Linked DNA regions of Styela clava. The protein of the gene in region 3 purifies or fractionates together with the protein of the main gene of each other region. This does not show direct contact. Links are inferred from orthologs where the notes say so. Each region holds a gene or a part of one and is shown on either strand. Other genes may lie near its edges. The genes, in order: uncharacterized protein LOC120343555; RNA transcription, translation and transport factor protein-like; protein FAM98A-like.

What was found.
Region 1: the proteins of protein FAM98A-like (region 3) and uncharacterized protein LOC120343555 purify together in Homo sapiens (co-immunoprecipitation; 3 studies listed by BioGRID and IntAct, counting the BioPlex papers as one, with this or other methods). This does not show direct contact. The link is inferred for Styela clava from reciprocal best matches to the Homo sapiens genes FAM98A and ATXN2.
Region 2: the proteins of protein FAM98A-like (region 3) and RNA transcription, translation and transport factor protein-like purify together in Homo sapiens (affinity purification with mass spectrometry; 4 studies listed by BioGRID and IntAct, with this or other methods). This does not show direct contact. The link is inferred for Styela clava from reciprocal best matches to the Homo sapiens genes FAM98A and RTRAF.

Annotation. Positions count from the first base shown.
Region 1 is NC_135252.1:15,482,953-15,486,710, reverse strand, and holds the start of uncharacterized protein LOC120343555, read right to left. Parts: upstream 2,401-3,758; 5' UTR 1,082-2,400; coding exon 1,041-1,081; intron 527-1,040; coding exon 487-526; intron 1-486. UniProt on the Homo sapiens protein: Involved in EGFR trafficking, acting as negative regulator of endocytic EGFR internalization at the plasma membrane.
Region 2 is NC_135255.1:20,599,077-20,602,834, reverse strand, and holds the start of RNA transcription, translation and transport factor protein-like, read right to left. Parts: upstream 2,558-3,758; 5' UTR 1,715-2,557; coding exon 1,579-1,714; intron 602-1,578; coding exon 507-601; intron 156-506; coding exon 26-155; intron 1-25. Other genes in the region: phosphopantothenoylcysteine decarboxylase-like, read right to left, coding at 2,558-3,127. UniProt on the Homo sapiens protein: RNA-binding protein involved in modulation of mRNA transcription by Polymerase II. Component of the tRNA-splicing ligase complex and is required for tRNA ligation.
Region 3 is NC_135250.1:11,660,948-11,664,705, reverse strand, and holds the start of protein FAM98A-like, read left to right. Parts: upstream 1-1,384; 5' UTR 1,385-1,510; intron 1,511-2,624; 5' UTR 2,625-2,686; coding exon 2,687-2,742; intron 2,743-2,967; coding exon 2,968-3,110; intron 3,111-3,758. UniProt on the Homo sapiens protein: Positively stimulates PRMT1-induced protein arginine methylation. Involved in skeletal homeostasis. Positively regulates lysosome peripheral distribution and ruffled border formation in osteoclasts.

The DNA.
Region 1 (3,758 bases), on a different chromosome or scaffold from region 3:
AATTAATAAATGTCACAGATTGGGTTTAAAAGACGAATTTATTTTAAGAATAATAGGAGGAATAACCATTTCACAATCTCAATATTTATTAGAAATTTCAAGTGTGGATATCGAAAATAAATACAAATTCTTCAAATTTAACCGCTCCACACCAATTAGGTATATCGATGAAAAATTGCTTTGCTGATATATGCACTGCATGGCATATGTTATATTTGATTTGGGTTTATTCCTCATAATACATTGCATTGGCACATGTAAGAATACTATTCAAATAGTAGTTTGATTCCCCTATTGCTGAAATATCATATTCATTAGAACTGAGTTTGTAAGAATTTCAGTTTCTTTTGGAAAACCAAGTTGAGTTTCTATATGAAGCTAATATAGAAGTGTCAGAAATTTATAAAAAGATCAATATGGAAAGGGAAGTTTAGAAAATAATTAGGATAATTCAGTAAATTATATTCATCTAGATTATTTGCATACCGGACTTTGATTCTGGCTAGAATTCTTCTTCGACCCCGGCCTGAAAAAAAAATAATGATAAATGTTCCCTACTTTAACCGAATAAATTTCCTTGCCTATTTTGGGTTATGTTTCAAACATCTCACGAAAGTATATCATATCTACAAATCTGACTTGAACAGCAAGGGAACAGAGTTACATCGATCAGTTTTGTAATGATTGATATAAAAACAAATGGAACTGCAGGAAGTAATAAAGAAATGCGACAAACGTAAAAGGTTGAGACAATAAATGTAACAGTGTTATTAAAAAGTGTGCGACATGGTAATAAGGTTGTAGTATGAAAGAAAATATCCTACTATAAAACACTGGGAACATTTGAATATTTAATGGGCTGGCATTTCACAAAAGTAAATTTACGAAGTCTATATGACAAATATAGGAAATGTTCAGGGCATCTCTACAGAGAACTGTTACAGAAATACATTTGTGTTAGGGTACAAAAAGAATTTAATAACTGATAAATTTATTTAAAATTAGAAAAAAAGCATATATAAAAGCGAGGGCAAACTCACCTCACATTCTTTGACTTTCTACCTTTGCTTGCTCCAGACATTTTGGATTTGAGAATTTATCGATGAACGATTAGTTGTCGTATCAGTTTCAGCATTGACATGAAATTATCATAAATACAAAGCTTGATTCAACACTTGGTTGCATAAAATCGCTTCATGAAAAATGTTATTTCACTATTTCACGAAACAGTGTATACATTTTCCGCAATTAAAAAGATGAAAATTGATCCGATGTACTTCTTTTAAGAACCAGATTCCAGAATTTTCATTTCAGGTTGATTTCAAACCTTCCTAGTTTTCTTTGCTTTGAATCATCAAAAAAATTTTGAACAATAAATTTGATAAGGCTATTATAGAATAGCAATTATTGGTCACTTTCAAATTTAGAAAGCCTGATTTGGCAATAAGGTAAATAACCTAAAAACAAAGTATGTTATAACTAATTTCAAAACAATATATTACGGACAAATTGGTTATTATTTACAGCGTAAACTTGAGAATTCCATACTACCGTAATCACTAACAAATTGCAATTTAAAAATTCCATTTTAGGTAAACTTGGATAAATTACAAAAAGGTTTAGCCAATAAGAAAAAATTTCAAAAATAGCCAATGAGGAAAATTTCAAATCAAGATTTTTTGCGAACTGGCAAGTACATCCAAAATTGTACCAAATGTGTAATTAGTTCATGCTGCCTCTCGCAATAATAGCAACTTGATAAAAATGCATAGCTGTTACAGCAGCGTTTTCCAACCAGGGAGATATTACAGAAAAATAACTTTGTATTCGGTGTAGCTTACTAATATTGTTTAGTCAAAAATTATTACTCAGTTATTGTTATAAATATTTATGCACACACTATAAAAATTCCAGCCATACGAAAGCTAGAGTGCAAGTTGCACACTCTCTGTGGTTGAAAATGGGGTGCTTTGAACTTATTTGATTTATATACCTAGTCAGTTATTTATTTTTGTTAATATTGCTGTCACTAGGTTATAATTTCTATAAAATTCCCATAAAAGATTCATGATACAAAAAATTCATTCATCAAAATATTTACTAGCATCGTTATGACGATCATATTCAACTACAATATAGAGCTGAGAGTATGACTCGAGATGCATCAAATTCTTCTGCACACTGCCTGACTGCAGAGTATGACTGAATGAGGTCAATTTTGAAGTCTCAACGCAGATAGATGTTCAAAGTTCTGAAATGCTAAACGTTCTATTCGAGGTTGAGTGTGAACAGTTGAACAATGAGCATATTTTTCACTTTTAAAAATAGCAAATTTTTTTGGAAAAATTTATACAATCCATAATGCTGTAATGTGAAAATCATTGCTAGTGCATGTTTTATACGTGAATGAACTGTACGGTACTGATTTATGCAACAGTATGACAGTGCTGTATCATACTGCTATACTGATATTTTCATAGGTGTAATATCAGAATATCTTGCCCGGTAGGGTACCGTACCGTACTGCACAATACTACAATAGGTCAGTTGGTACTGTGGTACGTTCTGACGTTACGGGTATATCTGTACTGTACAATCAGACAATGGTTTCTAACAGTTGAGGTTGCGTGAAACTAACTACCTTTCCTTGCTTTCTATGCGTTTGCGCAGGTGGATCCGTATGCGTATTATGCAAGGATGCTGTAGCAAGAGTGTAAATGGCTATTCTATTCAATTTAAGAGTCTTGCTGCACACGAACACACATATATTTCTGTAACAGTTGAGTCTGACCTCAGTCAGACGAAACGTTACATAAATATATTTGTGTTCGTGTGCAGCAAGACTCTTGAATTGAATAGTACAATGGTTTCGTTACCATACCGTATGCTGAATTGCTGGTACATCACATGCTGACATGCGTGACCCATTTATGCATTTAGAAAAACTGATACCGGTTTCGGTACGAGTACCGGTACGGTACCGTGATATTTTGACAACAATGTCCTAGCTAGCCTATAATGTATTGTTCATAAATCAGTCATCATGGATAGTCTACTTATTATTTCATTACTACCAAATGTTAAATATTCTGATAGTTTACTTGTACCGAAACGCATTGATGGCGCAGCCGAAACTGAAAACAAATTTATCAGACGCAACAACGTCTAAAATACGAAGCCGCGCGACATGTGATGCCAAAGTCTCCTTCATCATCGACGCAATGACGCAACATGGTTTTGCGCTTTTTATCGGTTTCCATGATCGCGGGCCTGTCTGATAGATCTGTCGCTTGATCTAACAAATTCACTTTGATATTCTGCCACAGAGATATTCATATCTGGTTCGATCATTACAATTTTGAAGTCCGATTTAAGCTGCTAATAACGATAGAGCACAAAGTTGCACCAATTGACGCTATTTATCAGACGCTTCCTGTGAAGATTTTGTGAGAATGATCAGTCAACGCACTTGCTTAGGGGTTGGAATAAGAATTTGAAACATTATCTTGAATTCTTAGGGCCCGTCCATTCACCACCATCTTTGTACCAACTAAACTCTACCAAAAGCGCAATTATGTTAGGAGAACAAAATCGAAATTTTACTTTAAAAAAAGCTGTTGCAGCACTGATTCGCGAAAATGGCCATAGAAGTGCCGCAATGGTAATTTATGGGAAGAATGTATATTTCCGCACCTAAATATGTCATTGACGTGACCAGTGGAACTTACAGTTTCTGCCAGAGCCATTACGATCGAAAG
Region 2 (3,758 bases), on a different chromosome or scaffold from region 3:
TCCAATATTTCAAAAAACAACTCACCATTATCGCCGTATTCCAGTCTGACAGCAAGTCCCAGTAGCCAATCGAGAGCCGACATTTTATCGCTAGATGAGAAAGGACACATCACATCTGTCAAATATTTAGTAAATGCTTTCGTCCATGCTGGCTCCTAAAAACATTACAAATCAGACAACAGAAAAAGTTAGTGAGCAAATTTGTCCAAGTGTTCAAACAGAGATAATAACCAATTTGAATATATTCTGGACTGGGATCAGCTCGATAAAGAAATTTGCGAAATTACCTTGAATATGCTAATTAGGGGGAGGGTCTTCATATGAGAATATGAGTGCAACTGGCCTCGGGGATATTCAGTTGGATACTTCGGGGAAGAGGCTCCCATTATGATTCGATTTAGTAATACAGAAAAGTTAGAATGAACATTGCTATGATTGATTTTATATTTTGCGATATAATTGGAAGTCAATTTGGATCAATCTTTTAATATTAAACAACCAATTACCTCAAATTTCCTTAATTCTTGTCTTTCATCGATTTTGTAATGTCGAACCTTTTGGTCTTCTATCCAAAGTATGATGAGTTTGAATTGTTTGTCATCTAGGAAAAATAAAAAATGTGTCATGATAAACAGAAGCAATTGAACTAGCAAATCTGTTTATTTGACCAAAAAAGGAGTCTTGATGCCAGATTTACCGAGAGCACCCGTTTTCAACCAGTGGGCCATGGCTCACTACTGGGCCATGAAAACCTGTCAAAAATTGCAAGAGTTATCGAAAATTTAGTTTTATTTGTGTCACTATAGTTAAAATGATGCTGCTGTTGTTAGCTGCAGAGTGGTAATTTTAATTATTCAAGTGAATTTTTTTTTTATTGTAGGAAGATTCATTTGTTTTTGGACACGTAGTGGACATAGCGATCGTTTCAATATTATGTTGTTGTTCTTGTTCTTTGACACCACTTTTTGGACACCTAGTGGAAAATCTAAAAAGTCGCTTTTCTTTTTGATTACTGGACCAATTGCTCTGAAATTTTCAGTGGTTACAGATAAAATTTTTCTCCAGAAGGCTATTACATTTATTTATTTCAAATATTTCTGTTAGTTCTGTGAGATTTGTTTTTGTTTGCTATGACGTCACCGAACGTTCTGCGGACATCGGACGCCATTTTGTGTCCGACTGTACTGCTTCGCTTGGTGTGAATATATTTGTAGACTGTGATCTGACGGTGCGATAAACCGTACTGTACTGCGAACAGACATGTCCATACATTTGGGCGTAGCTCTCTTGTTCTTGTAGTTATACCCTGGCATGGAAAAGTTAATGAGCCACGGAATTCCTGTGCAACAAAAATGTGCCACGACAGAAAAAAAGAATGAGAACCACTGACCTAGATAAAGCTGAAGCCATAGGAGCCTCGTCTTTCAACAAACATTCTCTCTTAATTCATTTTCAAACTTTAAAGTCTGTATTTTGAAATCAAAAACTGTCAGTCAACCTCGTTCATCTCGCTGTCTTGCCCGCCCCTTACATTTATAAATTTTATAATCTTTACACAAGAACAAAACAACTCCTCACCATTTGCATTGAACTTTGAGGCTTGTGGGAATTGCAAAGCTGAGAGTTTTCTTTGAAATGCTTTATTCATATTGTACATTACATATCTGATGAAAAAATGAAAGATAAGAAAGTGTATTCTTGGATTATTGGACATAGCATAGGAATGGAACAAGAAATTATATTCATCTCTTCAGAATGAAGGAAAAAAGTGCATAAATTGGAACACACATGAACTAATAGTTGATAATACATAACAAAAAAATGTTTTTCTATCTCAAAAATCAATGGACTGTGACTGACAGTGACATAGCCAAGTTAGTATTAAATAATTCTGCTTAGTTATTGTCCATTGATTGCTAAGTGAAAAATGTGTATGTTTACATGTTGTACCGAAATGCTTCAAATATTACACAATATTCATTGCCTTTTTATTAGTGTGCTTTTGTCTGAGATTCAATAACATGAAATTGATGAATTTTGATTTAAGACAGCATTATTTTAGACAGCTGAAATAATAACACATGATAACAAGGCAAATTTGGTTCTAAACAAAACTGAAAATAAGGTTATCTAAGTAAGTTTTCCTCAAGAATATATACTGTAAAATTCCCTGATTACATGTAAAATATGAGTTATTTGCAGTAAAATTACATAGGAGTTAAATTTGTCATACGGGGTGTCCATAAAGTCCCTTTACAATTTCAATTTTGTTATGAATTCAGTTCTCAATAAATTTTAACCAGGTTTGTTGTTTTTTTAATCAGAAAATGTGCAAGTATTTTTACTCAATTCATTACATCTGTGAGGGTCAAAACAATATATGGTATCGATAAATTCCCTTTACAATTTGAAAAAATTTTAAGATCTTACACCCTATATTTATTAGTCCGGCCTGAATGTTCTGAATATAAATTGATTGCAATGCAGAATTTCAGAATGTGACATTATCCAGATATGGACATTTACAATGATAACTTCGAAGTTTTTCAATTTTTTTTTATTTTGGAGCATTTTGACTGACAGCTTCAACAATCTCCTCTATTTCAGCCATGGCACCGATTCCTTCAGCCCCACAAGCTAGTACTTTCACGACTGGGGAGACAAACTTACACCCCCACTTTTTAAGGGTTTCGACTTGGGGTGCAGTAACTGGATGTAGCCACATTTGGGTATTCATGGACGGACAAAACACTACCGGTCTGGCATTAAAATCCCAAGCTCGTGCGATACACGATACTAAATTATCGCATAAACCGTTCGCTAGTTTTGCTAAAGTGTTTGCATCCAGAGGTGCAAATAGTACCAGGTCGGCCCAGTTGCATAAATCAATATGAAGAACCCTGTCGCCAGGTTTTTTCCATACATTCCACTCTTCTTTGTCTTTTATAATGGTAGCTTCCTTAGAAAGTTCTTCCAAATTCAAAAAATGTTCGCTATTCTCCGTAAGTACCACCTTAATTCCACACCCCGCAAATTTCTCTTTTAAAGCTGGTATTAGTAAAGGTATCTTCAGGCACGCCACACTTCCAGTGCAGCACAATAAAATATGGAATGATTTTGAAGTCATAGTGCAGTAGTGCTGTTTAATTATAACAGATTTAGAAATTAGATATTCTGAACTAAAAGTGTAATAAAACTCTTTAGTTGGCTAAAATTCAGTAAATGCAACAGAATATAGAGAAATAGAAATTGTTGGGGGGGTTTGATTCATTGACTCAGTTTAATATGGCACAGTTATTCAATTTGAAATTTGGTTCAACACAGAAAACACTCTATTTGTCTCCAAAACCAGGGCATCTGGCACGACGGCAGTTATTCCAAGCAACTGATAGAAGAGTTGCAAGTTTGCTCAATCAAAGCAAAGTCACTGCCCCTCAACTAAAAGTAAAAAGCGTACGGTGTAGATGATAAAAGAGTTGCAAGTTTGCTCAAAGCAAGGTCCCGAACCCTCAACTAAAAGTTAAATGAGTACTGATAGAAGAGATGCAAGTTTTCTCACAGCAAAGTCCCAAGCCTTCAACTAAAAGTCAGAAAGTGGAGAGAGTGCTGATAGAAAAGTTGCAAGTTTGCTCAAAGAAACGTCCCGATCCCTTACTGCCTTAGCTAAAAGTTGCAAAGAGTAGATAGAAGGGTTGCAAATTTGCTCAATTCGAGGTCCCGAAACCTCAACTAAAAGTTAAAAGAGTACCTACTAACAG
Region 3 (3,758 bases):
ATACGAGCAATGCCAGCATTAATCACATTCTCTGGCATCTCAATTTACTTTGGTAAGTCAACGGAACTGTTGTTGTTGTTGTTAGTACATCTTTCTGTGCTTTGAAGGCCCAGGAACGCAGCTATTCATGTGTTCAATTTTCGTAATTGCGTCTATAATACGCTAGCGAAGGTTATCTCGCAGTCGAGTGGAACTGCAATTCCGTAGGTTAGACCAGACGGCCTACCGGCGAACTATTTTCATTGGTAGATTTCAAATTCCATCATGATCAAATAATTCACGTACAAGAAAGTGAATACCCCCTGACCCTGTGATCGCAAATAATCCTATTCAGGTAATGAAACTGCCGTGGAAAGTATGCAAACGAAGTCGCTATATAATAAATTATTAGTCTTGTGTCGTGGCCCCCCTCGAACTGCTTCGTGGCCCCTGTTGAGATCGACTATGGGAGAAAGCAGGCTGCCTGTGCCAGCAATACTGCTCATTGAAAGTGATTTAGTCGAGACATTATCTTTTGACGATATTTTTTCTGAATTTGCTTCAATGAAAACTAGACTTCGATAAAACTTTCGATGAAATTTACTATTCACTGCTTTAATTCTTCTGTTGTGTTGAATTTTATTCAGCTTTTACAACACAACAGGAACCATTCTATTATAATGGCTACAAGTAAAAAAATGTTACGTGGTTATCAAGAAATTCCAGTACATGTAATTGCTTTTAGTAGTCAAAATAGTCAATAATGGTTGGTATCCCAGATAGAAAGCATAGCCATAGAGTGAAATACATATAGTGATTTTTAAAATCAAGTACCGGTATAAGTCCATAATTACCGGTAGTTAAGAAATCGCTTGACTCCATATCAGAAGGTTGCGTGTTCAGATCACGTCGGATTCACCAAATATAGTGATTAGTTATCACCACACGTAGATTGTTTGTAGATTTGATCTAATTGTGTGTGCATTGTATTTCTGTATATTTCGTCGGAATTGCAATAAACTCATAGGATGTGGATTACCAATGTAACGCTTGCAGAAAATCAGATTGCATGAACTGATAACGCAGAGCTCAAAATGACCGGAGCGGACAACTTGCAGCAAACTATAGATACGATATATATATTCACCAAATATAGTGATTAGTTATCACCACACGTAGATTGTTTGTAGATTTGATCTAATTGTGTGTGCATTGTATTTCTGTATATTTTGTCGGAATTGCAATAAACTCATAGGATGTGGATTACCAATGTAACGCTTGCAGAAAATCAGATTGCATGAACTGATACCGCAGAGCCTAAATGGCCGGAGCGGACAACTTGCAGCAAACTATAGATACGATATATATCTGTATATAGGCTTTGACTTACAGCAATATTTAGGTGTTGCTCTCACCAGGAGACAGGGGGATGTAAATTTAGCATAGCCTATCTGGTATCATTTTTCTTTCGAACATGTATTTTGGTGTGAAAAAACTAGGCGCAGAAGTCAGGAAGTGGTGCACAACGCAGGTTCGTAAGCAGATACGATAGAAACGCTTTAGGATAGGATTTACATAATATGTATCCCGGGCAAAAGGAAAGCGATAAGACGGCTTAACCGGTTCCATTACATTTGAACCCACGTACATTTGAACCCATGACAATTGCACCTGTATGCTATTGCACCTATGGAATTTTTTTTGTTTCACGGATAGTTAAACCCATACTAACCCTAACCCATGGGTTTTAGCACCCGCATATAGATTGAACCCGTGGATATACGCATGGGTTCAAATGTACGGTCACCGGCTTAACCATATGGCGAACCACGGCCTCTCGCCCGGTTACCATTCCAAGTCGGGTACCCGGTAGGTATGAGATTTGTTAGTTATTTGTTTGGTCTCGTTGGTTATTTGGACTTTATGGTACAGGAAGCCGTAACCGAACAGCGGTTACGTGAACCACCCAACGGCGGCGAGAAGTCCAGCGATCCTCTCGCACATTACCATCCCTGCATGAGATTCGAACCTGCGAACCCACGCAGAGTAATCAGAGGCACGAGGGCAGCGTATTCCTAACGCTTAGCACGATGAGCCACACCGCCTACAGACCACTGTCCACTGTCACACCAGCCAAATATCAAATTTGCCTACAGGGGTGGTGACTCTTCTAAGGCCCATGGGCCGGGGCCACGGTCCATCTAATTGGGCCACATGGACCGTGGCCCATCAAGCGTTGGGCCGCTGCTCCATCAGAAAAAATTCAGATATTTTATCAAAATTTTCAATTTTCACGAAATTGTCAATATTCGAACCAAAAAAAATCGTGGGATGCCACAGGAAAGGATACTTTTGTACCGTAGTATGTGTACCAGGTTGGGGTTAGGACAAAATTTTGTTCAGATTTTCCAGATTATAGTTCTATTATGAGTTCGGGGACTGTCTGTGTTAGCCAAGTGAATAGTCCCTTCACAGAACTTGATGGGCCAATTCGATGGGCCGTAGAGGAGTCACCACTTCTACTCGTTTATCATCTGATTGAGCCTTGTTATCGACTTTCCTCACCCTCTGGATAAATATGAAAATTCTAAATACAGTACCTACTGAACTAGCTTTTATTCTGGTCTGTTATTACTATTCTCCAGAATACATCAAGGAAAATTGTATTAGGCTTTTCAATTTAAATAGACATAACGTGGCACTGATCATGAGCGACAATACATCAATGATTCAGGATATCTTGGATAGCTTAGATGATTTGAGGTACTTGTTGTTTACTCTCTTTCGTCAGTTAATCATCATATGTCAGATTGATGACTGACAGATTAGCATATGCTGATATGGTACAATGCACAGGGGTCAGCATTCAATAAACATGATCTGATGATAGTGTAGATTGGTACAAATTGACAAAGGTGGATTGGTCTTAGCTTTAAATATTAAAATTGGCGATGAGGCATGTCTTATTTCGAGTATTTGTTTTTTTAGGTTATCAGGCAATATCAAGGATGAAGTCTCTTTGTGTGCGGTTGTAAAGAATGGTGCTTCATCACCAAAGTACATCCAACTTGTTGCTACTGCTGCAAACGAACTTGCTCTGCTGCTTCAATTAGAAGAGAGAATAACTCCAGGTTCGCTCTTGAATTGTGAAATAGAGGTCATTCAAGTGTGTCATAATTCCAGAGATCTAGAACAGGGGTGTGCAATCTGCGGCCCTCAAGGAAAAATTGTGCGGCCCACGGAGAAATGCTAATTGTGATAGATGTGCGTCCCGCGAAATGAGTTTTCAATTCAATTTGGTCTGTGCGTTGCGAAGCCTATACCTGAGTCCAATTTATTATCTATGAGTCATGACTATGCCTTAACAACTAGCTCGTGCAAGCAACGCATCACGAGATCAATAACCAAAATTTTTTTGCTTGCATCTAGTAGATAGCCTATGTAAGGCGCGACCCGTGGTTTCCCCCAGTTATTTGAATCTGACCCTCCTGTATTAAATGTTGCACACCCCTGATCTAGAAGTTAGAACATTACTGTGGTACGGTACTTCTAAATTTCGTGGAACTTATTATAATATTATTGGAGAGGTCTAGTTCAAAGTTTTGAAGCAAGTAAAGGTGTGCAAAACGCTTGTGAGTAAACTATAAGTTACGTGAACAAACTTGGTATAACCCTATTGGAAAAGCCTGCCTGTAATGAACAATTCTTGTCAACTGATTCAATTTTGATTGATGAATCTTTTTTTTGCTAGCCCATTGTTATAGTCATAACTCTTATGT